Linked DNA regions of Oryzias latipes. The protein of the gene in region 1 purifies or fractionates together with the protein of each later gene. This does not show direct contact. Links are inferred from orthologs where the notes say so. Each region holds a gene or a part of one and is shown in the gene's direction. Other genes may lie near its edges.

Region 1 (15,948 bases):
GCGCTATTTTATAAATAAAGTTTGAAAGTTTGATCTATCAGCAGAGTTTCTTGTAGTCTGAACTTAAATGTCAAACATTTGTTCTCCTTTTTTTTCCCCTAAGCTTCATTCATTGATCACATTTGTATTTTGAATGGGATGAAGTTGATTAAAGGGCACAAACATGTTTTTCTATCAGGAACCAGCTCTGTAGGTCTAAAAGTTACTGCAGAACCGCAGGTGACAGGCAGGGGGAGCTGCATGACCTGCTGGAGAAGCTGATGACCAAATGCCAGAAACTGTCCGACTCCTCGCTGAGTCTCTACTACTTCAGGTAGAATCCTGTCTCCACTGTCATTTGGAAAGGTTTAAAAAAATAGGCCTGTGGTAAAAAGAGACAGAAAGTATAAATTGAAGTTAGAGTTAGACTCCATGTTGATCGTGTTCCTCTCCTTTCCTCAGTGCATGCCTGTATTTGGTGAAACTTCTGCGAGGAGCTCTTCCTGTCGAAGCCAAAGAGGCTCAGAAACCCACAGGACACAATGTAGGTTTATTATTTGACTTCCTTTCATGTTGTTGCCTTGCTCAGATCATTCGAGTAGGGATGGGTATCGTTAAGGTTTTAACGGTACTACTACTCTTATTGATACTGCTTTTTGATCCGGTATTTTACCGATACTCTTATAAAATAAATAAATAAATATTTTATTTCTGTTTTCATTTTAATCTAAAACAAAAGTAAATTAACTGCAGGTTTCGCTTTACCTCGGGGTCAAAACTAAGGCCGTTCATACCTGCTGAGTGTCTTGGGTGCTCAGCAGTCAGGTCTGTTCCTGGATTTTTATTGGGTCATGAAGTGTCCTGGATTACTTGGCCTCCTTTTGGTTCACCTGTCATCTTCACAGGAATCTTCTCCTTTACTTTAGTATTTGTTGTTGCTTTAAAACAAATCCATTTAGTATATTTTAAATGTTCATTTGTTGAGGTGGAAAGCCTTTAGTTCAAAAACATTTAGTAAGTAAGTAAAGCTTATTTCTTTAGCACTTTTCCCAGAAAGGATGGCATTGCAGGTCAAAACTACGACAAGAGGTAAAATGCATTAAAGCAGGCATGTCCAAAGTCCGGCCCATGAGCCAAATGCGACCCGCATTCAAATTTTCACCAACCCACTGACTCCCTTCACCAAATGAATACTATGCGGCCCACAGCGCTTTGGAAAATCTGGTTGTACAGTTTCTTGATTGTGATTGACTAAATTCTATATTATATATCTATATTATACTATATTATACAGATGATTTAATTATTTTCACCTCTCCAAATCGGCCCTCTTTGCAAAAAGATTGGACATCTTTGCATTAAAGAGAAAATCCCAAAATTGATGTTCGATTATTTTTTTATTTATTTACTTGTTACATCATGAAACCAATGCTAATAATCTGCAAAAACAATAAGCGTAGTTTTTCTGAACAACTTTTTGCAAAAAGAATCTGTTTAACAAAAGCTGTCTGACATACGCTTTTGGAAAATGGGTGAAGAAAAGACATTTTCAACGGAAAAGCTTTTATTCACAAATGAAGAAAAGAGAACAAAATGAAACCTTCTGAAAGTCTTGAAAGAACAATAATATAATCAATCCTATTATCAGAGTTTATGACTCAACAGTCAAACAGAATTTCTTTTGGATAAAACTAGATCCATTTGACAAAAATAGTAGCTTGGTTGTTATGGGGTCAGATCAGGATTGTATTAAAGAGAATGAAAAACCCAGACTGTAAATTTGAGAAGAATTATTTTATGAAAATGTAAAAAACCTTTTTAACCAGAAAGTATAGATTGTAGACTATAAAGAAATAAATGTTAAACCTAAAGGAAATTTTGCAGCCCTGCTAGGTGTGAAGAAACCCTGACATGTGTCCCTCTCTGTTTAGCTGCCGTTCATGGGCCAAGTGGACGTGGAGCGGGTCACCGGTGTCTTCAGAGAAGCTCTGGTCTCTTTCCTGAGCAGGAGGAAGAGCCCTCTGACCTCTCAGATGTTTACAGACCTGTTCAACAGATTTCCTGTGAGTCCAAGCGTGCATTCATCAAAGCAAACCTAAATGTGGGTCAGGCTGCTGCGGTAACTGATGGCCGTGGGTTTTCGTGCAGGTTTTGTGTGTGAACCTGTTGGATACAGCCGTGCAGCACATCACATCTGGCATCAGGGACCATCAGCAGGTAAAAACCCATCATTCTAACCAAAGAAATGAGGAGAAAATCAGGCGGACATTGTTGGATTCCATAGATCATATTTGCTTTGGACCCTGGATCAGTGTTCCCCAGCCCTGGTCTTTGGGGAACACTCTCCTGCATGTTTTCCATGTTGCTCTGCTTAAACACACCTGATTCAGCTCAGCGTCAGGCTCTGCAGAAGCCTGATAATGGCGGCCATTAGAGGCAGGTGTGTTTGAGCAGGGTGGGATTGAAACCAATGCAGGACAGGGTTCCCAGAGGAACAGGGCTGGATAACCCTGTTCCAGAATCTCCTGATGAAGTCAGCACCTACATCCTATAGGGAGGCGAGTGTTAGAGGAAACCGCATGGCTTTTAGTGCTGTCATGCCTTTCATTTTTTGCTGCAATTAATCCTAATCTGTAATCAATTCATTGAATTAATCTGTTCTTAATGAAACATAATAATTGCTGCAAAAAGACAAATTTTGAGGTACTTTCATTTAAATGTATGATATTGTGATGCAGTAAAAGATGAAAAAAGAACAAAAAGTAGCTTTATGAAATTTTATTATCATAAACTTCCAACCTTTACTTTTAAGCATCACCAAGGTGTTTTTTTGGTTTTTGTTTTTAGGAAATTAAACACATCAATGAACGCTTTTCTGAATGAACCTTAAAATATTGACCCCAAACTACAAAATGAAATCCATAACATCCATGTTGACATACAATATTAAACAGTTTTTACCGTTCAATGCGATGAGGCCTCCACATACCCCATTCATTTATGATAAGGAACTGGCTGTATCCCTTACATAATGGATAACAGCATTAGGCGGTGTGGCTGTGTTTAGCGTTAGTTCTGTTAAGAACTACAAAGTCGCACATTGACGACGTCACCACAGCGACGCGGCACACATACCAACACGTGCACTCACACATTTTTAGCCCAGTTCAAATAAAATGTTCATGCAAGTAAACGGTTGTTTTTTATATTTGAGAACACAAAAATGAGATTGAATAATTAATCACGATTAACGCGATAAATTGACACACTGTGTGTGTTTTTATCTATTTGCTGTAAGCTATTACTATGAAATGTTCAACCTTTTATGTAATTATTGTGGGTTTCTTACCCTGATTGAGACAGGCTTATAAAATGACAGGGTAAAGGTTTTAGATTTAAAAAATGTAATTGTTTTTAGGCGTTTTTCTGTAGAATTGTATCCATTCAGGAATTATTATTATTTTTTAGCTCTGTGTTGGTTTTAGGGTTTAAGGTTACAGCTAAGGTGCATTTCATAGTTTCACTAATGGATTACTTTTTTGATAAAACAGAACAAAACACAAGATGCTTCTGAGTTTAATGAATAGTCGTTAGTGAGGCTGCAGCAGGAAAAACTGTTTTTTTTTAATTTCCCTCTATTGAACATCAACAAACATTTATTCTTAAGATTTTAGTCTTTACATTTGTCCTTTGCTTTGAGGAATGGTCTGGTTTGAAAACATTATTTTGACTGAAAGGAGGAGGATTATGCGCAGGTCACTTGTGTTTTGAAGCATATCCTTTAGTTTTGATTTATTAGGATTCATCAATATCTAAATAATCTTCTTCAAAAAAAGAACCAAAAACCCTAGAACATCTTTGTGTCCTTAAAATCAGTCTTAAATTTATACCAGCGAGTCCTCACTTTACTTTAGAAGCTTTGTGGTTTTAAGGTCAGTTTGGTCCAAATTTTCCAGTTTTTTACTAAAATCGGCCTTTCAGATGTGTTTTGTAGGATCTAATCAGTAATTCCAGCTCTTAAAATAAGACCCAGAGGCCCCATTATGCAGTCACAAGGCCCCCCCGTACTTCCCTTTCATTCATTTTCAGCCTTTACATTTCCCAGACTTATTGATATTAAGTACTGATTTAATGATAGCAGCAATAATCAGCATTAATCATTTGCTTTTAATTCCCATTTTTTGGTGCAAAAACATGATCTCAACACTTTTTTTCAGGGTTTAGAAAGTTTATAGCTTAAAGCAAAGTAACACAATAAATGTAAATTCATTTTTTTAAAGTCTTTTATGTAAATGAGTCTTTCCCCTTCAGCAACATATATAGTGAATCTGTTAAGCGAGTGCACTGAACCGCTCTTTTCTAGGGGCTAAATATCGCTTTACTGCTTAGGATTTGAGGTTTTTCCCTCTCAAGCACTTTAGTTGTCTATTTTTTACGCCCACACTAAAAAGATCCAAATGTATTAATGTACCCAACAACTACTTTTCTGTGATTTTAAATGTTAAATTTTATTCCAATTCTTTATTATGACCTCTGGAAAACCGAGAAAAGAGACTTGAATACTCAAAAAGGCAGACATGAGCTGTGTATGGGATTGGACTGGGCTCATAACCATCACATCTTTCTCCAAAAGATTCTGATAAATACGTTGAGACTCAGAAAATACCACAACAGTAATGATTCACTGATGAACGGATCCCATCCTTTATGCAAACCTCAGCAGAGTGACTCACGTTGGTTTGTTTCTGTGCCCTCTGTGTGCGTCTTGCTTTGTGTGTTTAGGGTCAGGCGTGTGTGTTGGTGCTGCGAGGGATGCAGGCCAGCGAGGTCCGGCAGCTTCTGAGCGGCGCCAAATGGACGGCGCTCTGTCAGAAAGTGTCCGAGCAGTTGTTAGGGGTAAGTTTCCTCAGTTATCCACCGCTGAAGAGCATCGGCATCGTCGGAAATGTACCCAAGAATGAGCAAGAATGAGCCTCCCTCTGTCAGCTTAAGAAATAAAAAAATAAAAAAAATCTAGAGTTTGTCATTTTAAAATGTAGACGAATTTGAGATTTGTTCTCTAATCCTCTGAATCTGATTAAATTCACATTTTCTGAAACTAAACGTTCTCAATCGTTGAAACACCATCATGCCTTTGGCTGTTGAAAATTTCAATTATATTAGTAAAGAAAGTTTATGAGACCTCTAGCTGCTGTGATTAATGATAGGAGGCAGCGATCCACTCTCTGCCCTCCGTGTGTCCTCTACCTTTCCACATTCCAGGGTGAACACACATCTAATTACGCGCCTCTGTAAATCCTTCCTAAACCTCTTCACCTCTGCACGTTTTTCTCAATCTCTCAGTCCACTTTTCTCTGAGTTCTTGTTCATTTGTGTCTAAACAGATCAAATGCTTATTTTTTGTGTTTTCCAATAAACAGCCACTCCAGCGACGTCTGAATGCTTTTAATGATGAAAAACAAAGTGCTTCATTTGAGCGTCAAGCTGCTTTTATTGATGTGTCATTATGAGCATAGACTGGATGTTCTTGTCATTCTTTAACAAACATCCATAAAATCAGATCTTCATCAGACTCTTGTTTTCTGAGAAAGGCCATTTTTAATGATTTCAAGGCATCAAGCTGATGTTATTTTACATCAGCTTGAAGTTTAGCACACACTCTAAAAACTTTATTCACAATGTAAACCAATTTTTTTTTCGCCCTAACAAAGCATCTGGGGTGTTTCTTCGTCTTTGTTGATCCAGGGCCTCTTCTGATTGGCTAGCATGACCACACTTCCCCTTATGTGTCGCCTGTCTTTTAATTGGCTCCCTGTTGCTCCATAACCCCTAACTGCAGTCTGAGAATATTAGGTTATTAGGTGTTGTGAGTCATTAGAAACCCCCAAAAGATTGATGCTGTGAGGGAGACTGAGCATCAATAAAGGGGATAATACCTCTAAACCAGGGGTTCTCAAAGTTTTTGTAGCGGAGGGCCAAATTAGGAACTTGACGTTAGACCGGGGGCCAATTTTGGTGAAAACAGAAAAAAGTCGTTTTTAATAACTTTAATGGCCAAGTGTCATTTGTACAATTAACCAGGCCCTCCAGATGTTTTCCCCGTTGCGGTCGGAGGTTGCTGCCCGCAGATCTTCCACTCGTTTAGTAATTATGTCATTTGACAGACTTTTTTCTTCAAACCTTTTCTTTCAGCATACATTCTTTTTACAAACTCCCCATCACTTAAGAGCTTGCTACAGCTAGCTTCTGTCACAGCGTCACTGGATTTAGCCATTTTTGTAAACCTCTGGTGTGCAGCAAAGCCTCGTAGTTGTTGGAGCTTATTGTTGCGCTCCTCGACGGTAAATTTGTCCTAGTTTTTATGATTTGTAATTTATTTATATTGATTTATGAGAGCATCGATTCCAATTCTTCCTTTCGCAGAGGCGGTGACATAGAAAATGTTGTCTGCCCTCTTGTGGTGAAATTAATACACTGTACCGTTAACACAGAGTGTAATTACCTGCAGATGTCGCCAGAAACCACAAAACAATATTTTTCCAAGCAATGTTCAGCTGGTTCAATAACAAATCAATTAGGATTAATTAAGGGCCACAAAAAATCTTCCCGCGGGCCGCCATTGGCCCCCGGGCCGCTTCTTGAGAACCCCTGCTCTAAACACACCATGCTATATTTGTTGTTATAGTAATAATATTCCTAATAAGTTAATCAAAAAATATGTTGATGGTTCTGTCGAGATTAAATATCTGTGAGCAGTTGAGCTGCGTTCACCACGTTTTTGGCAATGCACATTCAAGCGGTTATTTTCAATGAAAAGTCTATGTTTGCACACATAAATACGAACATAAATACACGTTCTGCGTTCAAACCTCTTGCGTTCACGCGTAGCTACGCACAATTTGTGAGACCATTTTTGGCCTCTAAGTATGTGACAGCAAAATCCTTCATACATCGGAACAGAGTTGTGAATGAAAAAGCCTGGAGCCAGACTTGCACTGCTTTGACATTTTGCACCAAGACTCTTCCAGCTGTAGGTGGCAAACAAGCTGTAATAAACAGTAGAAGAAGAAGAAGAAGAATCCCCTCTCTGCTTGTCAAGTGTGAACACCATGCGTGTTCTTGAATGTGTGTCACATCCTCAGCGTGATTGTAGCATTAGGCTTTTTAAACAGAATTGTATGACAAAAATGGTTGAATTTGTTTAATTGTCTTTCAGATTCTTGCACAGGCTGACCAAATTGAGAACAAGTTGGTAAAAGAGAAGATGGTCAAAGTCCTGGAGCTCTGCCAGTTCCTGATCAAAACTGTTCATCTGCAGGTAGGTGGGATGAGATCATGAGGGGATAAGAGTTATTACGGTCACTGTCCAGACTCACTGTCTGCCTCCGCCGTCTGTAGAAGCTGTCTGTGGACCTGGACTCCCTCCAGACGACCCTGCAGTCCCTGACCAGCACCGCCTCTTTGAAGAGCACCGGAAAGCTGGAGGACACGTACTGGGCTGTGATGAAGCTCTTTGGAGTGATGTACGTTCCGCCAGTGTCCTTTTAAACCTCTCTACAAATGCGATCCTCATTCACAAGCCAAATGAGCAGTATATTTGCCCTCCTGACAGCATTTCTACTCACACTCGCAGTGTTTTCCCCTGTTTTTCAAATCCTTCATGATCACCTTTACTCTTTTCCAACCTTTCCAGGAAGCCCAAAGTTGAGAAAACGAAGCCTGACAAGGAGCCGGAGCAGAAGCAAGCTCTCAAAAAGAAAAAAGGTTTTCTGCCAGAAACAAAAAAACGCATAAACCGCAATAAACCTGCTTTGGAACCAGCCTCAGACACAGCAGCCCCCGCTAACAAACCAGGAGCAGAGAAAGGACAAGCCAAAAAGAAGCATGACAAGAAAAGCAAACAAAAACGACCTGCCAAAGGTGCTGGGGCTTCAGAGTCCAGCCCTGCCAAGAAGAGCAAAACACAGTCTGACAGCAACCCAGCCAAGAAGAAGAAGAGGAAGAAGAAGCCCAAGCAGATGAAAGAGGGAGGACAAGTGTGATGCTGTTTGAGAGGACACAAAGTTCTGAAACGTCTTTTTAAAAAGACTTTCTTTGTTTTTCAATTCTGAAAAACATTTTGACATCTTTAGTGGAACTTTTGCTCTGCGAGGTGTGAAATGAGAGGATATTTTTCCAATGAGTGACTGTTGTTCATTAGAAAATGTCTACAATAATAAATGTATTTCTTCCTGGAAATTGATTCAAAGCTCTTCATCCTGAACAGCTGTTACGTCTAAAGAAAGACAACCTCAGACTGTAAAGTAGTGTTTTCTACTCTTATACAGACATATAAGGATAATGAAGCTGATGGTGGAAAAACATTTGATTATGTGCATTTCAGCAAATAAACATAGCAAAGAATTATTTTAGGAATTAATTGGTTTAAGTTGTGAGCTGATAATTTCTAGAAAGGGAGAAAATGTGAACGTTTTTGTTTTTGATGCAAGCAGCATCCAAAAAACTACAAAGAAGAAAGATCCAAATGTTAAAATGAATGACTGAAAATTTAAAAATCCACTCCAATCATCTTTTAAATCTACTTAAGTGTTCCTAATAATGTTTTAATTACGATTACGTCGGATTTAGCCAAAATTTAAATAAAAACTGTCCCTTTCTAGAACATAGTTTCTGTAGAGCGGCAAGAGTTCATTAGAAATTCACTTGTGAGTTTCAGCCTATTGCATTTTCTACATCACAAATTAGCTCGTTTTCCAACTGCATTTTTTTCATCTGCTCCTGATTCACAGTGATTTGAACAAATAAATACTCAGAAATGCAGTTTTAAGCCAAATATCCTTAATATATGCTCTTCATCATAAGAGAAATGCCACAAGAACATGTAGAAAACACAATTTTTATCAGAAGGGGCCTCTAAAGATTAAATTGGCAAATAACAGTGGGTTACTGTTGGTGTTTCAATGCAACCCACAAAGGAAGTCAATTTTAACAAGATTTCTGAATACAAATTTGACATTAACCACATAAAAGTCCAGGATTCTAGTACAGGTGTGTTTAAATAAATTTTTTACTAATAAGACAAAGAAAAATGCTGCAATAGGAAACGTTTAAATTATTTGAAACTACAGTTAATCAAGTTTGGAAACTAAACCTAACTTGATAAAGCAAAATAGGTCGCAAAAATCTGAACGTTGTTTTATTTTTTTTGTCCAACTTGCAAATGACAAAGTGAAAGCAAAAGAAATTTTCCTAAACACTCACTCAGGTACAAAATATTTTTTTAACATGTTTTTATGGCATTTTTCTGAAAATATAGGACATAAAAACTGCATTTTTAAGTATTTCTTTATCCAAATCGTTGTGACTCAGGAGCAGATGAAAAACTCAGTTTGAAAAAGACCCACAAGTTCTCTGCTCCGCTCTATTATGATGCATCCACTTGCAGACAAATAGATCCATTTACGTCTTCGTTTCTAATGAATTGCTGCTGCTCTACAGAAACTATGGCCTAGAAAATGACACAATTTTGTTGATTTTTTGCTAAAAAAAAACAGTATAATCATAATTAAAAAACCAGTGGGAACACTTTGAAAATAAATCAAAAAAGGATTGGAGTGGGTCTTTAATAACAGAACTCAAACAACAATGGCAAAAAAGAATTTTAAAAATCTTTTTTTAACAAAGTAGTTTAGGCATTTGAAAAAGGAGTAGGCACAAAACCATCCATCCCCTATGCTTTTCATACACTTAAACTCTTCAAAAATATCACCACAACACACTCTCCATGAACAAAGGAACACTAAAATAACAGTTTTTTATGCTTATCCCCACTACTGTGTTCACATAATCACCATTCCCTAAACTCCTATGTACCAGCCAGACTCATCCATCCCCACTGTATAGTGACCAAACTGTTTTCTTTTTTAATATGGCAACGTTTGGACTGTCCTTGTGTTTGTTTCCAAGATCATTCCATATTTTCATCCCACACACAGACACACAAAAACCTTTCTACTCCACAAATGAGTTCAGTCATTGAAGGAGATTTAGGTGTTGGAACACAATCTGTCTGGAAAATGGCATGCATCCCAGTTGATTTGAACTTCTTTGTCTTTTCAAATATTCTATTTTATTATAAAAAAAAATTGTGAAATTAATTGTAAACGAATAAGCCTAAATATTTGCTCAAACCTCTGAAATAAAAAAAATCTTCCCAGCTTTAATTTGACATTAAATATTTTTTCAAAGTCAATATTTTTCAGGAAAAAAAATCATATTTCTTGTTGTTTTATCTAGTGAGAGCATTCCAGTGCATCCAAACCTGTTTGTCTTCTAATTAGTTACATTTCATATGACATCACTGACACACAAAAAAAAAAAGATTTTATTTAGCAAAATCCACAGCTGTGAAATCTAAAAAATCATCTTGCATGCTATAAATTCTGAGGAAAAAAACACTATCTTAGCTTACATTATCTTGTTGTGAAATGGAAGAAAATTGCAAATTTATGCAAAGTTATTCATCTAGACTGTAACCAGAACTTTTCACCTCTTTTTCTTCTTTCCTCTCGGGAGCACAAAAGCGATGCTGTGAACACAGCTATACGTTGACACAAAAAAAACAAATTAAGTAAGCGTTTGGCCATTTACACATGGCCCAGAGCAACACTGATGCTTATTTTAAAGGCGTTTACATTTAGAGATGTAGTTTTAGACCTATATTTACGTTTTTTAAACTATTTGGCTGGCAAATCCAGCTCTAAAACTAGTAGTTACGTTTTGCCAACAGTTCAGTTTGGTTCTAAAGTTAATTATAGAGGTTATTTGAAGCAGAACTAGCAACATTTTTAAAGAAAAATGATGGGTTAGCTTGTTTAAAACTAATTTTTAAGCAAAATACATTAACAAATTTGTACTGCAGAGCCAGAACTCCACACCTTAAGAAAGAGAAAGCTGTCCCCTAAAAAATATGAGCTTCCCTTTGTGTTAATTGATTTTTGTGAGGTATTTAAAATCCTGGCAGTGAACAACTGCTTTTAGATGCTTCATTTTATAGCTCATGAGGGAAGGAAGCCAATACAAAGCCTCTTCTTCTATCCTCAAGTTTGTTTGTTTGTATTGTGACTCCTTCCTGTTTCATTTTATTCATAGTTTACATAAAAATTGCATTTCTGTAAATTTTTTGTTTACTGCATGGCACAAATTTAGGACAGATTTGAATGCAAAATACTGAAAATAAAAATGTGAGACTCCTGAAACATGTTTATGCCTTTTTAAAGTGTGCACAGCAGAGCCAGGTTAAAAGGCCTGTCTGAGGAGGAACAGTGTGCACCTGCCATAAGTTCTGCATGCTGCACAATAAAATATGGCCTCTCGTCTTTGTCATCTAATTAGCAATAATTGCTCTAATTGCCGAACCTCCTAATCCTTAATCACAATTTCCTGTTTGCTTCAGATTACAAAGCAGATCTTAAATTGACTTTGAATAAAGTGAAATGTGCAATAGTATCATAAATGCGAAAGAAATTTTAAAAAATTCCTGAAATTATGTTGTATTTTTATGTTTTACAAACAATAATCTATGGGCTTCTTTAAATAAAATGGAAATCATTGGTCCAGAATGGAAAGTCACCTCTTTGTTCCACAAAGGCTTTTATTTTTATTAGAAATAATGTCACTGCTCTTTGCACGGGAGTGGAAGTTGCAAACCTTTGTGTCATAAACAAAGGTAAGCAATCGCACAGAACCTTAATTCCACTGTCAGAAAAATGATCCAGAGTCCCCTAAATGGATTACTGTACGGGACATGAAGCCTTGCAGCCATAAATCTACAGGAGTGTTAGCAGGCAGCCGCCCCATCCATCAGTGATCTCATCTTCAACTCCCTCTGAACCGCAGTAACTGTCAGTGGAGGGAATCGGCTCAAGTCTGACTATGTTGAATAAACCTTGTGTTTTGTTGTTTGTTTCCATAATCCCAGAGCTGTGTGTCTCAAGCTCTCAGGAGCTGAACTATACAGGAAAACCTCTGAATCAATCATGACTTTACCACATAGACAGAGGGACTGTGATTTGAGTTTTTCGGCCCATCTTGGGGGTGGGGGTTATTAAACCTTTGTTTATCTCCTGTCTCCAGCATTTGGCTTGACGGTAAAAGCGTTGAAAATAAATCACTGCTTCTTCAGCACCAGACAACACATCGCTTTACAAGAAAAGCAGTCAATTTATGACAAGACAGGAGAACAAATCTGGCCCAATAATTATGATGTCTCACCATTTTAAAAGAATTTATTTTGAAACCCACTCAGATGAAAATGGTGTTTTTAACATAACCTTGTGGTATTATTTCTGAGGACGGAGGTTATATAGTAGGAAAATGAAGCTTAAAATTGCATTTCGGCGTATTTCTTTATTTAAATTGTTGTGAATCAGGAGCAGATGAAAAAAATGCAGTTTGAAAAAGCTTGTGGCTGTGATATCGACAGGTCAAAGTCTCCCTGCTCTGCTCCATTCTGATCCATCCACTTGTAGACGACTAGATCCTGTACATCTTTGCTTTTTCTGCCATGGCTCAAACCTGTATGGCTGGATAGTTTCAACGCTGCTATGTGTAATGTTAGGTTGGGGTTGTGAGGGGCTGTAATCTAGCGGCTGAGCATGTAAACAGACAGCTCTCAACAACAGGGAGGGAAAACGGTGGCAAACTAGTGCCACTCTGCAGAAACTATGTCCTACAAAATCACACTGGTTCTTAGAGTTTGGCTAAAAATGGCATAATCGTATTTAAACTGGGAACACTTTGAAAATAGATCAAATAGATCGAAGTGGGTCTTTAAGTGAAGCTCTGGCGCATTCTGGACGGTTCTCCACCCGGAGCAATGCTTTGTAATGGTTTCCAATCACCGTCAGTGTCTACCAGTGGCGGCTACTGGTCTGTCAGAGAGGGGAAGCTCATGAATGAAAGAAGGAATGAATGAATGAACGATCTAAAAAAAAATAATTAAACTTTGTAAAACTGAAACAAGGAATGTGGTGTATAATTGTGTGAAATGTATGATGAAAATCAAGCAATTTACCCAAGCAAATGTCAAAAAAATAGGTTGCAGCAGTTTTTATTTCGACTGAACTTGAGAAATGCGCGATGGGACTGAGCGCGAATAGCTTCAGTGATTCCTTATAGTACAGAATTGCTGTCAGTCAAAAGGAGATGCAGTCTTTCGACAGACCCTCCAATCATCACACAGAAGCTCGAAGTCCGGGCCATCCCACTCCCCATTCACCCCCAGAGACGATGAGCGTCCGTGGGCGGGACATAATCGCATAATTTATCCAATGACATTCTAGTTTTGAAGCGCTGAAAAAAAAGGTTCAAAGCAGCCCCATTGAAGTCAATGGACGCTGGGCTTCAATAGGGAAATGCACTGTGACGCTGCGGGAATGTACGAGAAGGAAATCGAGTCAGCCGACCTGCTATATGTAACTGATTCTGAACGAACTCGTCTTTGAGATGAACGTTTTCTAACAAAATTTTAGTCAATAAAATGTTAATACAATAGTACATATTTTACCATTAATTTTGTGACATTATAAGGGAAGCCGAGCTTCCCTTGCAGTCTTAAAGAAATCGCCACTGGTGTCTAGTCTAAAGACAGTGCTCCAAGTTCATCCCAAGCACGTTCATTTGCATTTCTAATCTCTTTTCTGACTGTAGTACACTTGATTTTACTTTGACACTTTTTTACTGCTTCTATGTAAAACATTCCTTCTGTGCCTTTCCACCGGTGAAGTGAAAGAGTCACTTTCTAAACCAACTTTGATCTGAAAATGTTTTGGCTCAGACCTGACTGTTATCCGTGACCCTTGTGCTATCCTAGGCACTTTACCGTTGTGAGCTGGGTCATCTAGACCCACTAGGCAGTGCGCTGAATCTTTTTTCTTCAATTATTTGTGATTTTCACTGGTGTCCATGGATTACATGAAATCTTTTCACCTTTATCTACCTTTGTCATGGTAGGGAGAACATGTCAATGAAAGGGTGGGGTCATCTAAGATAGCACAAGGGTTAAAGCAACCCCCAAGCTTTGACACTTATTCGTTTTTCCTCCTTGGCCTCCATACTGGAGGTGGTTACGTCCTGAGTTATACTGTACCGTTTGCTTTTGCAGTGTGAACCTGCAGTAATGAAGCGTATGAAGTGACTCTCTTGGTGACAAATCCTTCTTCTTGAACCCCGACAGCAGGGGTGAGAATGGGAGCAGCCGTGTCCTTTCTTCCTGACAGTGAACTGACAGTATTCATTGCTTTGAGTCGAGATGCGGAGCGCAGAACCAATCAGCTAATGCAGCTCAGAGGAATAATCACTGCGAGCCGGGGGCCAAAGCCTTATCAATATGAAAAGATGCAATGAATGCTGGAATGATTCATGCCTTCACCTTGAGAAAGGTTTTTATCTTCCTGGACTCATACTGTCCTGCACATATGGGGAATTTTTCCAATCTCAGATGCGGTGAGGTGTTTATCATCACAGATTTTTTTCCCACTAGCTCCTGTTAATGTTTCCCCCTTGAGATTTGTATCCTCCTCAGCAAGCCGTTTGGTAAAAATTCCGGCAGAGTGTTAGCTTAATGATGAATGGAGATTAAACATCGCACTCTGTGGTTTACCCAGCAGGCCTTACAGGAGTTCAGTAGCAGCTTGCAGAAGACCCAAATCTGCATGCAGAACATGGTTTTCCTCTGTCAACCTAAGCTGATAAGATTCCATAATGGGAATAAGTTTATCTATTCACAATAGATCACTCTAATTACTATACAGGTGCAGAAAGCCGGCTTCATAAGGTTACTTTGCTTGTAGAACTGCTGTATAGGAAGTGAATATCATATTTGAGCAGGTTACACTATTTTGTGGTATCTTGATAAGATCAAAACTGCTGGCCTTCAAATGAAAAGGAATGGAATGAAAATAAGAGTGAAGATCAGTCTATCTCAGCCCCTTTGCTTGAGCATTTATATGTGGGAGTAGAAATGTCAAAGTTCTCTAATAACAAAGCTTTTCAAACAAAGAACTGTGACGGGAACCTGACGTAAGGGGATTTTTGGAGTCTTTTTTTTTTAAAACTCCCATTCAGATTTTTAAACCAGTTCGTATCCCTGGTCCGGTTCATTTTAAAAGTGCAAACACAGCTCTAAATGTAGACATGAAACCAAGTTAAATACAATATATTGAACTACTGTAAACAGCCACAGAGGTTAACCAGTGCCTGTGATGAAGCTCATATATCTGCAGTGCTCTTTAGCAGACCCCCAGGGCATTTACACCCTGCAAAACGGCCTCATTAATTCTAAACGAGGCTAAAGACAGTAACTAGGCTATTCCCAGAACATCCTCAGAAACTTCCTTTCTTCTTTGTGGCTTCTATTTCTGACCAACTACCCCTAACTTTACATCTTCCTAGTTCTAAAGTCAGGTCTTTTTTCACGTCTCTCCTAAATGGGGTTTTTATTTTGGCGTCCTTCTTTAACCACTAGTTTAGTTTCCAACCAACAACACCTGAACCTTGGCACATATAGCCACACCCCAAGTTCCTGTTTACTCTCAACTATTGATGCTGTTAATAACTAACCAATGAACTCCCTTCAACCTTAGAGTTTGGCCTCCATCTATTCTCAAACATTGACCTCTATCTATTGGTAGCCACTTACCTGTATTGACTTACAGCAACTGATTCATGACAACCGCAGATTCCTTGAAGCCGACCTTCATCCCTGCAGCCTCTAACGTTCATCTATTCCAAGCTACTGACATTTGACCCTCATCATTTTCTGCAAGCTGACGCTCAGCTGTTTCTAATCTCTCAACTATTTCTCTATTGGTTGATGGTGTGCCACATCTGTCCATCTCTGGCAACTGGGAGAAGCTGAACATCTGTTCTAGTCACTCACCTCTCAACCAGAGCTGTAAAATCCCCCTG
Region 2 (14,886 bases), on another chromosome or scaffold:
TTCAACGTGCAAAACCTAGATGCTTTAAAAATGAGTTTGATTCCATACTACTACAAAATATATTGTTCTTTACAAATATCAATATGTCAAATGGCTGTACCAGTTTCTCTTGACTGACCTGACAGATGTAAAGAAAATTCACAAATAATGGTTTCAACAAAAAATAAATAAATACAACTTTTTGTTGTTTTTTGATGCATTAAACATGACTATTCATTTTTTTAAACATATTGCAACATATGACATCTCAGTACTTTGAACACATTAGGAAAAAGATTCTCTTTCTACAAAACTAGACACAGTGTTAACACTGAAGCTCTGTGGTGAGATGCAGATGTAAAACGCAATGCTGCCTCTTTGTGGTGTTGAAGGTTAATTACTCAGAAGTGCTGCGTAAGTCCCCCTGGCTGTAAATAAATTACTCATCAAAAAAATCATAAGTACATAATTTGAATATTTTTTGGTGACTTAAAAACGCTTTCATCTGTCGCAAAGAAAGGTTTTTGTAACTCACAGGGAAAAAAAAAACACAGAGAAGCTTTTCTTTTATTCTAGAGCCATTTTTGCCTTCTCTTTCTTAGGTTTCTGTGCTGTGTTATGCTGAGAGTGAAAGTATTTTGTTTTATTTATGAGCTATTATGACTGTTGTTTGTCACCTCCCCTTCCCTAATATTTATACTTCCATTTCCCGTACATGCTTGTTACGTTCCTGACTTAGGAGATTTGAAAAGAAGAAGGCGTTACATAAAGAGGCTTGGGGTTCACACACAGTCGACTGGCTAATAACCAACATGGTTGAAACAAGAGCCACTGCCTTTGCAGGGCAATGACAGTTCTTTTATGTGGCTGTTGATCCGTTGCCGTTGGTGTGATTGGATGCCATCGTGAGCATTAGGTGTAGGAGGCAAGTCCATGACTCTTTTACCCCAGCAATCCAAACTTTCATAGACACACAGAAAGAGTGACAAACACACCCTTTGATGATGCAAAAATCCCCCAAAATCCCCCTCTTGAAGATGCAAATCAAAAACCATTTTTATTTCCTGGTTTTGATTTTTGCAAGCCAATAAACCAAACAAATGTGTGGGTACTCATGATAGCCAATAGAGCATAAGCTCAGGTAGAGTTACGGGAATCTGGACAGGGCATCATCTACCAAGTTTCCTGAGCCTTTACTATGTTAAAAAACAAGGTTGAGCCCAGCGCATGAGACACTGTTTGTGATTACGCATGTGCAAGAGAAACACAAGTGGGTTATGTTAAATGCAAACAACAACTGGATGAGAGCTTGACACCACCAGGACTGTAACATTTGACAGACATGTTTGTGATTTCAGCATTTTCCAATAGTGAATGCACTTTGCAAAGACTAAGAGGAAAAATGTCCTCAGGAGTAAGAATCAGAGGGTGAAAGTGATGACTTGAATTGAAAAAAAAGTAGAGTTAAAAAAAAGTAATATATACAGTCATTGCAGCCATTTTTAACAGGCAAATGAGAATATAATTTAAAGGAAGTAAAATAAACATGTATACTTGTTTATAAGTGGCAGTCCGATACCATAGTTGTCCCCCCGGACAAAAACAAACAAAAAACCCCATCAACATTGAAATTTCTTAAACATGACAATTATTCCAGTTTAGTCAAGATATCATTCCGTTTAGGGTCAGATTGCCCTAGAACACTTTCACTATAAAAGGTTCCACCATCACTTCTGCTGTGTCATTTTTACCCGATATGATACATCCAACAAAAAGTACTTGTCATAAAAAATAGATCAAAACATGAAAACACATGATAAATTAGAGTGGTTTTCTTTTATTTTCAACTATAGTATGAATAACAAAATGAAAAACAAAAACTTAAGAAGCTCCTAAAAACATGATCAAAAATTACTGAAAAATTAGGAACTTGAGAACCAAAAATTCCTAAAAAATGATCAAATTATATTAGAAACTTGGTCTCTGTACCACCCATTCCTGGGACATGTGAAATTTCTTTGGTGAAGGCAGAGACTCCTTGACCACACGAAATATTGAAATTCATGTAAACAGTTTTACTCGGGTGAAAATGTACCCAGCGATAGTGCTTTAGATAACAGCCAATATAAGTAATCATTACAGGATTTTCAATGTGGTGACTAGCACTTGTACATGTGCGTTAGCGCTGAAATGATTAAGTTAAGTGAAGGTTAAACTTTTAAAAAAAAATGTATATTTATGATTGCAAGAACTATTTTGAAACAAACAAACAAAACTTTAGGAAAAAGAGAAAAGCAAACGAAGAACTAAAACAGAAGGTTCCCATAGCAGTCAAGTGTTGAGAGAAGACAGGTGGCATAAACCATCTGGTACAATCCATCTGCGCACATGGGATACAAAAGACCTTTTATGTCGGCTTAGAATTTAGCTTCGTGCGTAAACACAGCTTAATATCTAATACTTGCCTCAACACACAATAACAGCACTTTGCAACTGCAATTTATTTTGCAAAATATCGTTTCCCCACTTAAAAACAAAGCCAGGTTTCTACATTGCATCATTTTATCACTCTTTTTATCATGGTGTGTGTATGTGTGTGTGTGTGTGGAGGGGTCGGCATTGTGCGGATTTTAAACCAAACAATTTTTTGTCTTGTCCCTTTTTTTAATTTGATTATAATTTTATGCATAGCACTTTGAGTGACCTGAGTTGTAAAAGTGCTATGTAAATAAGTTTGATTTAATTGGATATAGTTACCAGACATCTAAAATGAATTATAATATTAACAATAATTAAAGAGAGAATGTTTATTCTTTTACAACTGAAATTTGCACTTGTACAGCAATCCGTGACGTTTATTATTTTTTTGTCAGCGCGCGGGCACGATGCAAAATTACCAACCTTTGATTGGTTAAGCGCCGTCATGTGGGCGGAGCCTCGTTGGAGGGCAGACCTGACCAAACGCTGTTGCGGATCCTCTGTCTTTCTCGTTTAATGTCCCACTGAGTAGACAGGGCCACGTGCATACAAGCAGTTTTACAAGTTGCATTCAGAGATCCAGATTCTAGTGTTTCTTTGAAACACTCTTCAGAAGCAACCATGGTGAAGTTAGCTAAGGTAAGATTCTAAATTGCAAATTGTGCTGTTGTTCTGTGTTGACGCAAGTATTAGATATTAAGCTGTGTTTACGCACGAGGCCTAAATTCTAAAAGTTGATGCGTTTGCTAATAATAAAACTGCTATACGTGCCAAATGTCTAATCGTGATTTCAAAACTAGGTTCGAATTGTTATTTTTGTAAATAAATTAGCTATTTGGGGAGAAACGTGGGTTCCCTCGTTTTTAGACGTCGCTTTTCTGTCGACAGCACAGCAGCCATGTTGGTGCCTTGCTGTGGATCGCAGGCCGAGCTGGGCCTGCTAACGCTAGCCCTCTACTCAAGATGGCTTTCACGCTCGCCCTCGATTTCAACTTGAAGAAAATACTTCCCCGTCTATCGATTTTCGATGAAAATTGTATTTGAAGATCGTTTGTGTTAAGTCAATACAGTCAACGATGAGATTAAGTAAACTTAATATCGTATTAAAATATTAGTGTATATTTTGTGACGCCATTCCCAACTTAGCGTAAATGCATATGTTTAGTCTTGGTTGATGGCTCCAAATTTTACAACATAATTTTCTATTTTATGATATGGTAGTTGAGCAAAAATGTTTTAAATTCGCGTTAGTTAGCACTAAAGGTGTTTAAAAAAAAAAAAGCTAGCGTGCTGCTACTCTGCCGGCCTCCCCTCCCGTGGCCCACGTGGGTCGCACGAGCTCTTCTGACTGATGCATGAGGCCAACAACGAAAACCCAGAAGTATTTTCGATGTGCAGTGTAAACATTTAGTCTTGGTATGTGTGAATCAGCCGAAAAGGACTTTAATTTTTTTGGCGTTTTTGAATGCTACGATAAGGACTGTCAAACTATTTTTCCACCTCGTGTTAGTTAGCATGTGGACCATCGTGCGAGCGTGGTATCCGGGATGCCATCATTGTCACGTGTTCCTTACAGCCTTTACTTTAAAAATGTGTGTCGTGGCAATTTTTTATTATTAAACCCATTTTTAACTATATCTTCCAGCCTGCAAAGCAGCAAATTCAGAAGAAAAAGGCCCCTCCACCCCCTAAACAGGTAGAAGAAGAATCGAGTGATGAAGACGGCAGTGAGGAGGAAGAAGAGGTAAACCATTTTCCTCCTTTATTACAAATTTTGGAATAATTTTACCAACACCCACTTACCTTTTTCTCACTTTTTTTAAGAGTCCACCACCTAAAGTCACAAAGAAAGCCACCCCAGCTAAAGCCACACCAGCTGTAAAAAATGGAAGCCAGGCTAAAAAAGCAGAAAGTGACGAGGATTCAGGTAAACAAGTTCTGTATATTCTATTTTAGACATATGGGTTAATTTAGGTTAAGATTATTTTACAACTTCATCTTTTAGTGTTTTTCTTTTATTCAAAGTGATTCATTGGGTTGATTATTTGAAATAGCATATCTTTTATATGTATAAATCAGTAAGGTAGTTTAACATTCTATCAAGATTGTGGGTTAAAAACTTTAGAATTTGCCCTGTGTCGTTATGCGGCATCATGCACACATGTAGTTTGTAGGTGTTCAATTTGTGAAAAAGTTTTTCATAATGACTCAAAATCATTTACAGAGGAAGAGTCTTCTGAAGAAGAGGCTCCACCCCCAAAGAAGGCACCTGCAAAGGCAAAAGCCCCCGCCAAGGCTGCCCCTGTTAAAGCACAAGAGTCTGAGGAGGATGGTATGTAGAAGCTACTGTTTTTTAACTATGTATGACCACACCACTTTACGTTACTGGTAGGCTGTTTTTGAGGAATGTTTTAGAAAAGTTGTTGCATCTCCTCCATTTCTTGGCATACATGTGGTTGTTTAGTACTCATGTGTGTTATGTACGGAGGAAAATCAAAGGCAGCGCTATGTCTTCGGTGCCGGTGTGTATTTGAATCATCCGGTTCTATCCTCAAACGCTGTCACATTGGTTTGGTTGGAGGGGAATTTTCGTGTTTATGCTGGAGACGTTTTCCATTTTCGCTCAATAGTTTTGATTTCTTTTTTTAAATTCCAAGATGAGTCTGAAGAGGAGGCCCCACCCCCCAAAAAAGCCAGCAAGGCTGTTGCAAAGCCTGCTGCCAAGCCCCCAGTAAAGGCTAAGCCTGCAAAGGAGTCCTCAGAGGAAGAAGATGACGATGAGGACGACGACTCAGAAGAAGAAGCTCCACCTCCAAAGAAGGCTACTCCTGCAAAACCAGCCCCCAAAGCCAAGGCAGCAGCTAAAGCAGCCCCAGCTAAAGAGGAATCTGATGATGATGATGACGAGGAGGACGATTCAGAAGAAGAAGCTCCTCCCCCCAAAAAGGCTACTCCTGCAAAACCAGCCCCCAAAGCAAAGGCAGCAGCTAAAGCAGCCCCAGCTAAAGAGGAATCTGATGATGATGATGAAGATGATGATGGTAAGTCGGCAAAACAAGTGTCAATTAACTTCTTTAACAAATATGATCAAACAGGGACTTAATACTGATCATGTATGATGTCACCACTTAAAACATCTGACAGACATGAGCTGTGGAGCTCTCAGGGGTTTGTTCAGGATGGAAAACGCATCTGCCTTCTTTTACTTTTCAGACTCTGAAGAAGAGATGGACACCACTCCCGCAGCAGCTGCTACAAAGGGAAAGAAAGCTGGAATGGTGAAGGCCAAAGAAGAATCAGAGGAGGAAGATGATGAGGATGAGTCTGAAGAGGATGATGAAGAGGAAGAGGGGGAAGGTGAGTGTTGATAAATGTTGCATAGTTTTAAAGCATAAACTCACGGTTAAACTAATGCTAAGACAGCACATCATGAATATAAGTAACAAATATTTTTGGTCTCGATTTTGCATTGAAAAAAAATTAAACATTTCCTGCATACAACTTTGTACAAAGTCTTTTTTCTGTCTGAACAGAAGCCCCAGCTAAAGCTGCAAAGAGAAAGGCAGATGGAAAGAAAGAACCAGTTCCTGCTAAGAAAGCAAAGTCTGATGGAGAAGGCAAGTACAGACATGTTGGTTTATCATTCTGAAGTTTATTTCTCATGATGATCAACAAGGGACTTAATACTGATGTGTGATGTCACCTTGAATTATTCTGAATATGCTTGGCCTTATTCTGCATTTATTGCTTTCACCCACATTTGGATTGTAAAAACTGTTGTTTTGTGTTTTTCCAGGCTTCTGCTTGTTTGTTGGAAACCTCAACTCCAACAAAGACTTTGACGAAATCAAAGCCTCGCTCAGAAAATTCTTCTCCAAAAACAGTCTAGAGATTGTTGATGTCCGGTTAGGAGGTTCCAAGTAAGTTTAAAAAAAAAACACACACGTCTTGCCCGGACAAGAATGTGTGTTAAAACCTGAGATGTAGGGGTGTTTTCCCCACAGTCATTTGGGAACCTTTGTCCTTTTAAAGGTCTTCCTGGTCATTGCTTCCTTTCATGGCTCACTTGTTTTAACTCAAATAAATATATGGTTACCCCGGTTTCAATTGCATTGCACCACAAGTTTAAGCTTTTTAAGAGTGTTGTTCAAAATGTTTGTTGCTTGCTTCACAATGTGTGATATAGCGATCCTGCAATGATTCATTTTTAGGGGTTGGAGAAGAGCGACTGAATTCAAGACAACTCAAATGTTTTTGTGATCTTAAATAAAGAAATTCACGAGTTCAGCCAAAAACCTTTGATGTTCATTTAAGGTAGATTTAATTTGAGGTCTAATTTTCTAATTTTGCATCTTGCTTCAATAGGAAATTTGGCTACGTTGACTTTGCCTCAGAGGAAGACATGAACAAGGCAATGGAGCTTAATGGCAAGAAATTCATGGGTCAAGAACTAAAGCTGGACAAGGCCCGTCAGAAAGATAACTCACAGGAAGGAAAGAAAGGTAAACATGCACCTTTGCAAAGTTTGTCTGCTAAATGTTTGAAGTCTGTATTATCAGTGTTTTTCTAAAATTGATATTGGTTCTACAGAGAGAGATGCGCGGACCCTTTTTGTTAAAAATCTTCCGTTTTCTGCCACGGTTGATGACCTGAAGGAATTGTTTGAAGATGCGGTTGATGTCCGGTTACCTCAGGGACAAAACGGTTCAAATAGAGGGTAAGAAAAAACTCAATTACAGAAGTCACTTTTATAGTTTGAAATCTTTAAAATAACTTACCAGCCTTATGCCCAATTGTTTCTAGTTATATCTTACCTTGTCCTCATATCAGCTTTTCTGTTTCTTTAATGCAGCATTGCCTACATTGAATTCAAATCTGAAGCTGTCGCAGAGAAGATGATGGAGGAGGCCCAGGGAGCCGATGTGCAAGGGAGGTCCATCATTTTAGACTTTGTTGGAGATAAGAGCCAAAAAGGTGGCAGAATGTCAGGTACTGAGTCCTGTATTGATGATATGTAACTACCCAGAACTGTTAGTAAAATCCTTTAAATATATGTACTCAGTAACTGGTTCAAATGCTCAAACCTTAAAACCTGCTTAGGTGTGATGAAAGTTAATTGGGAATTGAACAATTTCTACCCTTTTTGTTGCCGTTTAGCATCAGGAGGAGTCAACAAAACGTTGGTTGTAAATAATCTGGCCTTCAGTGCCACAGAAGATGTTCTACAGTCTACGTTTGAAAAAGCAGCTTCCATAAGGATTCCTCAAAGGGACGGCAGACCTAAAGGGTAAGTGCTGGAGAAGACGGTTATTGTTTACAATTCTAGAGCACCTTCTCATGAGCTCCTCTCAATCGCATCCATGATTCTGTACGGATTCGCACGAGAAGCAGAGCCAGTGCACAGATCAAAACAGGCTCGCCCTACATGCTTATGGGTGTTGCCCATGTCTGCTGTGCAACAAATATTTTGATTTGATGAATATTTGATAAAATGATAATTTAAGAAAGCTGTTTAAACAGTTGTAATAAAATTGTACCTGTATAAATTATTGTTTTCAATAAAAAATCTTTCTAGTGTTCTCAGTATTTTCAGTAGCTAAATACCAATTGTAATAAATTTGAATGTCAATACTTCATCAATCAGAAGCAGCATTCTGTGTTGCCTGGTAATAATGTTAGTTTTTTTTTTTTGCTCTAGTTTTGCTTTTATAGAGTTTGAGAACGCAGAGGATGCCAAAGAAGCATTGGAAAACTTTAACAACACAGAGATCGAAGGCCGATCAATCCGTCTGGAGTACAGCCAGAGTGGCGGAGGGAGAGATGGAGGCAGAGGAAACTCGGGTAAGAGCTTAGTCTTTGGATGTAATCCGGAAAGATTTTACCTGATATGATGACAATCTTGATCTCTTGAAACTCTGTGAAGAATCAAAAGATAGTCAAGTCCTGATCTGGTCAATGTTAGATCTTTAAAGTGGGTCCATTTGTTTTGTTGATTATTTTAACAGATTTTGATTTTATCCTCTCCATCAGGTCCAACAAAAACCCTCTTTGTCAAGGGGCTCTCAGAGGACACCTCAGATCAGACGCTTAGGGATTCCTTTGAGGGAGCTGTTGGAGCCAGGATAGTTACAGACAGAGAGACGGGGTCCTCCAAAGGGTAAGTTGGGTAGATGCAATGATGGGCCTTGATTTCCAATAAAAACCTAAGAAGGAGCTGTTTGGCTCATGTGAAGTTCAGTTGGATCATCTTTATCTGTTGGATCTGAATAAAACTGTAAGCTCTAAGGTGTGTGTTTCTTCTCCAGCTTCGGCTTTGTGGATTTTGACAATGAAAATGACTGCAAAGCAGCCAAGGAGGCCATGGAGGATGGAGAGATCGATGGCAGCAAGGTGACGTTGGACTACGCCAAGCCCAAGGGTGAAGGCGGCTTCCGCGGAGGAAGAGGCGGCGGTGGCGGCTTTGGGGGCCGCGGTGGCGGCTTTGGGGGCCGCGGTGGCTTCAGGGGAGGCCGTGGAGGAGGCAGAGGAGGAGGAGGAAGGGGTTTCAGCCGTGGTGGTGGACGTGGTGGTTTTGGAGGTACGGAGAGAGAAAAAGACATCTGGATCACCCAAAATGTTTTGCTATCAGTTCATTAACCGTTTTTGTTCCTTCTATTTAGGTGGAAGAGGTGGTGGATTTGGAGCAAAACCTCAGGGGAAGAAAATCAAGTTTGATGATTAAAATCTGTGTTTTACATTTGAATGGACTCTGTTTCACCATCTTCTGAACTTTTGGACATTCCAGGAAGTGTCATTGATTATTTAACGGTAAATGGGCTTTTTTGTTTTTTGCCCGTTTGCATAGACCCCTCACACCTACTGTACCCTGTGCCAGAAGCATACTTTGGACCTTTTTGAGCTTTTCAGTGTAAAGTGTGAGGACTGAATGTCCCAGAAGAAAGCCTGCACTCGTTTCCTACCCAAACAGTCTTTTGCTGAAGGATTGAAGTGGATGGAGTCTGGCAGGAAGGGTTGTGAGAGAAAAAAAAAGGAAAGATGCTTGTCCAGTCAGATATATGGTGTAAATTTAAGCAGTTTGTATGATTTAATTTTACCTTTTTTTGTACAAAAAACAAATTAACTCATTTATCCATACATTTTTGTTTTTATTTTTGTCATGCTTTCTTTAGATGTTAAGTTTTACTGTTGTTTTCATAGTCCATGCTCAGAAGTTATTGGATGTTTGTTATGGTTGTTAAACGAGGCTGTGACTGAGTCATGGATAAAATCTAATCTATGTAACAAATGTTTGTAGAACATTGAGTATTTTTTTCCTCAAGATTTTCACGATAAAAATAAACCTCATAAGTTGTGATTTTTAAAGGTTTATTTTTATTTTACATTTCATTAAATCTAAGTAAAACTTGCAGTTTTGTTCATTTGAACTTAAGTTGCCTGGTTTGAAAAAAGCTTAAAATGTTAACAAAACCAAACATGTCCTGTTTTCAAACGTCTCACTAGGGGGCATACTTGTCATGTTTTAGGATTTGTGCTTTTGTGTAAGATTCAGCCCACAAATTTAGTGTGGAATAAGGTAATGGAATGTTACAGATTTAAAAGTAAGATTAAATCTTGTGCAAATTTAAATTGAACTCTGATAGAATTATTGCTTTTATAGGGCACATACAGCTAGCTTCTCAATCCACACAAATTCAAATTTGTTTTACGATAATATACTGGTAATAAATTGGTCTATTTTAACCAATCAATGCTAAATCAAGAAATATATGAACATGGATATGTCAAGCTGAAGATATGAACTGATAGGAAAATGAAAACATGTATATATAACAATACTTTTATGTATCGTAAATGCCATTAAAATTTAAAGCCAAAGGCTTATCTGCATTTGAAAATATACAGACACGGAATCCATCAAATATTAAGTCGTCAAATAGTTTGATTACTTGATAGGGAGTGGGAGTAATCACCTGTCAAATATTACCTTCAGGGACTTTGTGCTGGGAAACGACAATATCCTTATGGGAAATCTTTCACTTAAATCCTAAATAAATGATGACAAATCTAGGACATTTGTCTAAAATCACTCAATATGAAGAAAATAAAGAATTTCAGTAAACGTCCATGAGAAACAGTGAGGCACAGAATACTATCTGCATAAATGTTGAAACTGGTTCTGTCCAGAGTCCCACACTATTACTTTGAGCACTACTTAAGTCTACATCTATGGCTTTATCCAAGTTCCTTTACTACTCCCTATAGTGTGTTTGCCATTTTCTCACTAGATTGGGGAATATATACCACAATTCACTGAACAATTTTTGCGAAGGACATTTTTTAAATTATTTTTTAACAAACCGTTTTCATAAGTAGTTGTCATAAAACGCTCATTTCAATTAGATTTTCATTTCGTAAAATCAGTGATGTCATATTCGCCATTAAAAAAAACAAAAAAAAAGTAGTGAGCATGGTTTTTGGTAGTTAAGGATTAGGGTAGGAATTCAGGCACATCATACAATTCTAAAAACCAGTGACAGAATTTTCCCAGAAGCCAATGCAAAAACTAGTGTGCATTGATGCTCACTAGTTGCTCACAATAGTGAATACAGACCACAGTGCATTGAATTTTCTAATTTTTGTTTTTATATCATCCAAGTTTTTTATCACCACACACCGGATTCACAAATAGTCTCTGTAAAATGTTCACATTTATTAGGTTCTAACTTTAGCAAATGGGTGGCGTTTATAACCAAAAAGTTGTGAGTGTGTGTCTAAATTTCATTAAAATCCAGGGCACTGGATAGTCCAGCACTATATAGTCTTTTAGGAGATACAGAGTATTGAGGGAAATCGGACACAGCATTAGACTTCCCTCTGATCCCCTTTGAGCGACCCCTTCAGGGAAATTGGATTTCCAGAAGCCTAAATACAGAAAGCAGAAATTGCACATATATGCAAAAAGTACTTCATACATTATTTTCTTTCTCTTTGTTATTGGGAAGTTGTAAAGTTTGATGGCATGGGGAACAAAAAATGTTCTTTTGTCTGTCCTACACCTCGGGAGGAGCAATGTTTCACTGAGCAGAATCCTCTGTTTGGTGATGATGGTGAGCACGGGGTTACTGTCACGTCCAGAATGTCCAGCAGTTTGCCCTATATCATGTCCTTTCTGCCATAGTCAACAGAGAGTCCAGTTTCATGCTAACACCAGACCCAGCCTTCCTGACTGATTAACTTGTCCAACCTAGATGTGTCATTGAATGTGCAGGCGCCTCAGCACAACAAAGAGAACATTACAGAATGGTCAAACATCCTCAGCAGTTTGCTACAAATGTTAAATACTGCAGTCTTCACAGGAAGTACATCCTGCTCTGTGTCTTCCTGTACAGCTGGTTGGTGTTAAATATTCAGTCCAGTTTGTTATCCAGCTGAGGTATTTGTACTTTTCAGCAGCCTTCATCTCAGCTCTCTCTAGCAGGAGCGCACAAGGTCTTGGTCTAGATCTCCCAAAATCAATGACCATCTCTTTTATCTTGGAAGAGTTAAAATCTAGGTGGTTGGTGTTGTAACAAGCAGCAAAGTCTTCTACTCCTCTCTGTCACCCTTACTGTCACCCTTAATGCACCCAACAATTGTTGTGTTGACAGTATACAGTTCTGAGCTGTAGAAGTTAACGATGTACGGGGTGAAAAGAGCAGTAACCCTGAACCCCGTGGGGTTCCAGTGCTGCATACCAGTGTCCTTCCCTCTGATGCACTGTGGCCTGTCAGTGAGGCACCCAGTCCTCCTAGCAGGGGTCTGGAATGGTTCAGAAAGAGGATTTTCACTGTTCTAGGCCTCTCAGCCAGATGGGAGTGGACTCTGTGTATCTGGTAGAGAGTTGCATCCTCCACACATACGCACCTGGTTTGCAAACTGCAGGGGGTCATGGACATATTGCACCTGGAGGCAACCCAACTGCTTTTGGGCAGAAGGCGGGGGGTGGGAAGGGGTGGGGGCACACTCTTCATCACACTGCACCTTCTGTGACTGTGGTAGATCTCTGATTGTAATATCACTGGTTTAGTTCCTCCCATGCCCGACCATGTGTCGTAGTGTTTTTTTGGCAAGAAACTGAAACCCACATTGCTCCTGGTGGTGCCAGTGTTTGGGAGCGGAGCTGCCATCAGATTGTGAATGGGTGTCTGCATGGGTAAACAGGGCTGGGACTATAAAGCACTTTGGGCCTTCAAGGAAGGTAGTAACGTGCTATTTTGTTTACGTCATTTACCTTTTACCCTGAAGAGGTCGCCAGTCCGTTGCAGAGCCATAGGACCACAAACACACACTGACATGCACACCTAGGGGCAATTATAGAGTCATTAATTAACTATGAAACATGTTTTTAGACTTTGGGAGAAAGCTGGAGTGCCTGGAGAAAAACCCTAAAATGCTTATTTACAAAGTAAGGTCCCAGCTATGACAAAAACATCCATACTTAAAATGCTAAGTTTATTCAGTTTAACTGACATTAGCTGGTGACTGGGTTTCATCTGCTCAACAATGACCCTGAGCTTTGGCAGCTTTTTCATGTCAGTGACACCCCCACATGAGGGACAGTGGTAGGCTGTCATCCAGCACCAGCTTCTGAACAAAATCTTTGTTGCTGAAGGTGGCTGGGAGGAGGCTGTGATGATGGAACCACTGAATAACTCCATTTAGTTGTTTGCTAACTCAATGCTTGAACACTGTCAGACTTCCGGCTACATTTTCTGTGTGGCGTCTGCCGTCTAGGATGACCTGAGTGCTCTATGAAGCTCTGTCAAAATTGTCACTGTTTTGTTTATACGAGCATGTAGGTTTTCGTGAGTTATTTAGTCAAGCAAAACATTGATAAAAATGCAAACAGCCCTACTTAATATTTCTGCCAAGATATACTGTAGACTAATTAAAATTCACTTTTTTTTAACTTCTGCTAAGAAGTGCGGTTTAATTCAATGTTCAGAAACATGCAAGTGAATCTTTAATTCTCAAGGGAAAATTGCTCTAGGCAAATTAACTTGGATTGACATGTACTTATCAGATTAACGCAGTGACCTGTTAAAACATTTATTTTTGTGATATCCTTGTTTGTTTTTCCAACACTTGACACACTTCACAGTTGGTTAACTGGCATGCAACCTCACCCAACCTGCTCTACCAAAAGAATGATTTATTTAGTCGTGTAAAATTTATAACTAGGTGACTGACATGATTCATTTGCATTTTTTTTTATGATTCTGCTTCGAATTTCAGTAAAACTATTGTCACATGTGCCAAAATGCCACAGTGTGGTGGCATTTGTTATCGGGAGGCGGCAATTAAATTTTTACACGCTGCCCAGCGGCCGACGAGGTCTTAAGACCTGGCAGGCGGGTGGCAGGAAGGCAGCAGCGGGATAATTGACTAATAGGAGGGTCTCCAAGATCCCTAAAATCGTCTGATGATTGGCCGATTTCAGACTGCCACCATGCAGCCACCCCCTGCCCCCGTGCTGTCGCCTCACTGCCACTGTCCAATCGTCAGAAATCGTATGGTAGGAGTACGGGCAGTCAACAATGGCTGGGGTTCAAATAGTAAGACAGCATTGATGCTGCACAAAACTCATCATGACGTTGATAGCACCACAGTGACTCAGAGGTCTGCGTCTTGACGAATTGCGTTTGATTCTGAGAAGAACACGAAGAAGACAGAACATTGTGCTTTCTTGGGAGGCATGTTATCTAAGAATGTGTAAATTGACAAGATTATAATGCGCGCTCAAAATCTGAGTTGCAAAAGATCAGTGGTGCTATTCGGCACCACTGACCACCTCTGTTGGTTGGCTGTTGGCCGGTGCCACTTGATATGGACGGCCGCTGTCCAGAGACATCTAAACATCGTCCAGTCAGAGCTGCTGCCGGTCGGGGTCTGGCTGCCACCACCCTGTGGTTGGTTTCATATTGACGTCATCCTGACTGACTGCCGCCATCTTCATTCAACATAAGATTACCATTGATTACTGGTAATCTTTGATTAGATGAACGTTGCAATGGTAATCTAATGTTGGGTGTATTAGGTCAGAGAACTTGCCTCAGTTTCTCTGAATCTTTGGATGCTGTTATGCATTACAGTGTTTCAGTAGCCTCTGCCCATTTAGACTTCTGAGAGCCATCTATGACATGTTAGCCATGACATAATCTGTCATGGATAATTGTAATGCACACTTAAAATAAGTTGCAAAATGTTCTCTTTTTTTGTTACTTTTCAGTAATTTGTTGCACTTGTCCTAATTATCTTAAGACAAGTTTTGTGCTTCAAATTTAAATTGCAACACTGAGCATTTGAAACCAGCTGTGTGCTGATGTAATACATGTACTGCATTTCTGTTTAAGGTCATGAAGGTGGTGATGCTCTTGCAGGCCTTTGAAG

Evidence for each region.
Region 2: the proteins of mybbp1a (region 1) and ncl purify together in Homo sapiens (affinity purification with mass spectrometry; 3 studies listed by BioGRID and IntAct, with this or other methods). This does not show direct contact. The link is inferred for Oryzias latipes from reciprocal best matches to the Homo sapiens genes MYBBP1A and NCL.

What each region holds. Positions count from the first base shown.
Region 1 is NC_019872.2:24,950,403-24,966,350, reverse strand, and holds the end of mybbp1a (myb-binding protein 1A), read left to right. Parts: intron 1-178; coding exon 179-313; intron 314-441; coding exon 442-523; intron 524-1,910; coding exon 1,911-2,042; intron 2,043-2,127; coding exon 2,128-2,196; intron 2,197-4,761; coding exon 4,762-4,875; intron 4,876-7,195; coding exon 7,196-7,297; intron 7,298-7,377; coding exon 7,378-7,502; intron 7,503-7,672; coding exon 7,673-8,021; 3' UTR 8,022-8,221; downstream 8,222-15,948. UniProt on the Homo sapiens protein: May activate or repress transcription via interactions with sequence specific DNA-binding proteins. Repression may be mediated at least in part by histone deacetylase activity (HDAC activity).
Region 2 is NC_019862.2:11,716,779-11,731,664, forward strand, and holds ncl (nucleolin), read left to right. Parts: upstream 1-2,915; 5' UTR 2,916-3,078; coding exon 3,079-3,096; intron 3,097-4,102; coding exon 4,103-4,201; intron 4,202-4,281; coding exon 4,282-4,384; intron 4,385-4,681; coding exon 4,682-4,789; intron 4,790-4,888; exon of another isoform or gene 4,889-5,026; intron 5,027-5,114; coding exon 5,115-5,498; intron 5,499-5,670; coding exon 5,671-5,814; intron 5,815-5,990; coding exon 5,991-6,074; intron 6,075-6,118; exon of another isoform or gene 6,119-6,175; intron 6,176-6,253; coding exon 6,254-6,377; intron 6,378-6,822; coding exon 6,823-6,959; intron 6,960-7,047; coding exon 7,048-7,174; intron 7,175-7,309; coding exon 7,310-7,446; intron 7,447-7,614; coding exon 7,615-7,744; intron 7,745-7,786; exon of another isoform or gene 7,787-7,921; intron 7,922-8,155; coding exon 8,156-8,298; intron 8,299-8,487; coding exon 8,488-8,614; intron 8,615-8,762; coding exon 8,763-9,034; intron 9,035-9,116; coding exon 9,117-9,178; 3' UTR 9,179-9,865; and 1 more. UniProt on the Homo sapiens protein: Nucleolin is the major nucleolar protein of growing eukaryotic cells. It is found associated with intranucleolar chromatin and pre-ribosomal particles. It induces chromatin decondensation by binding to histone H1.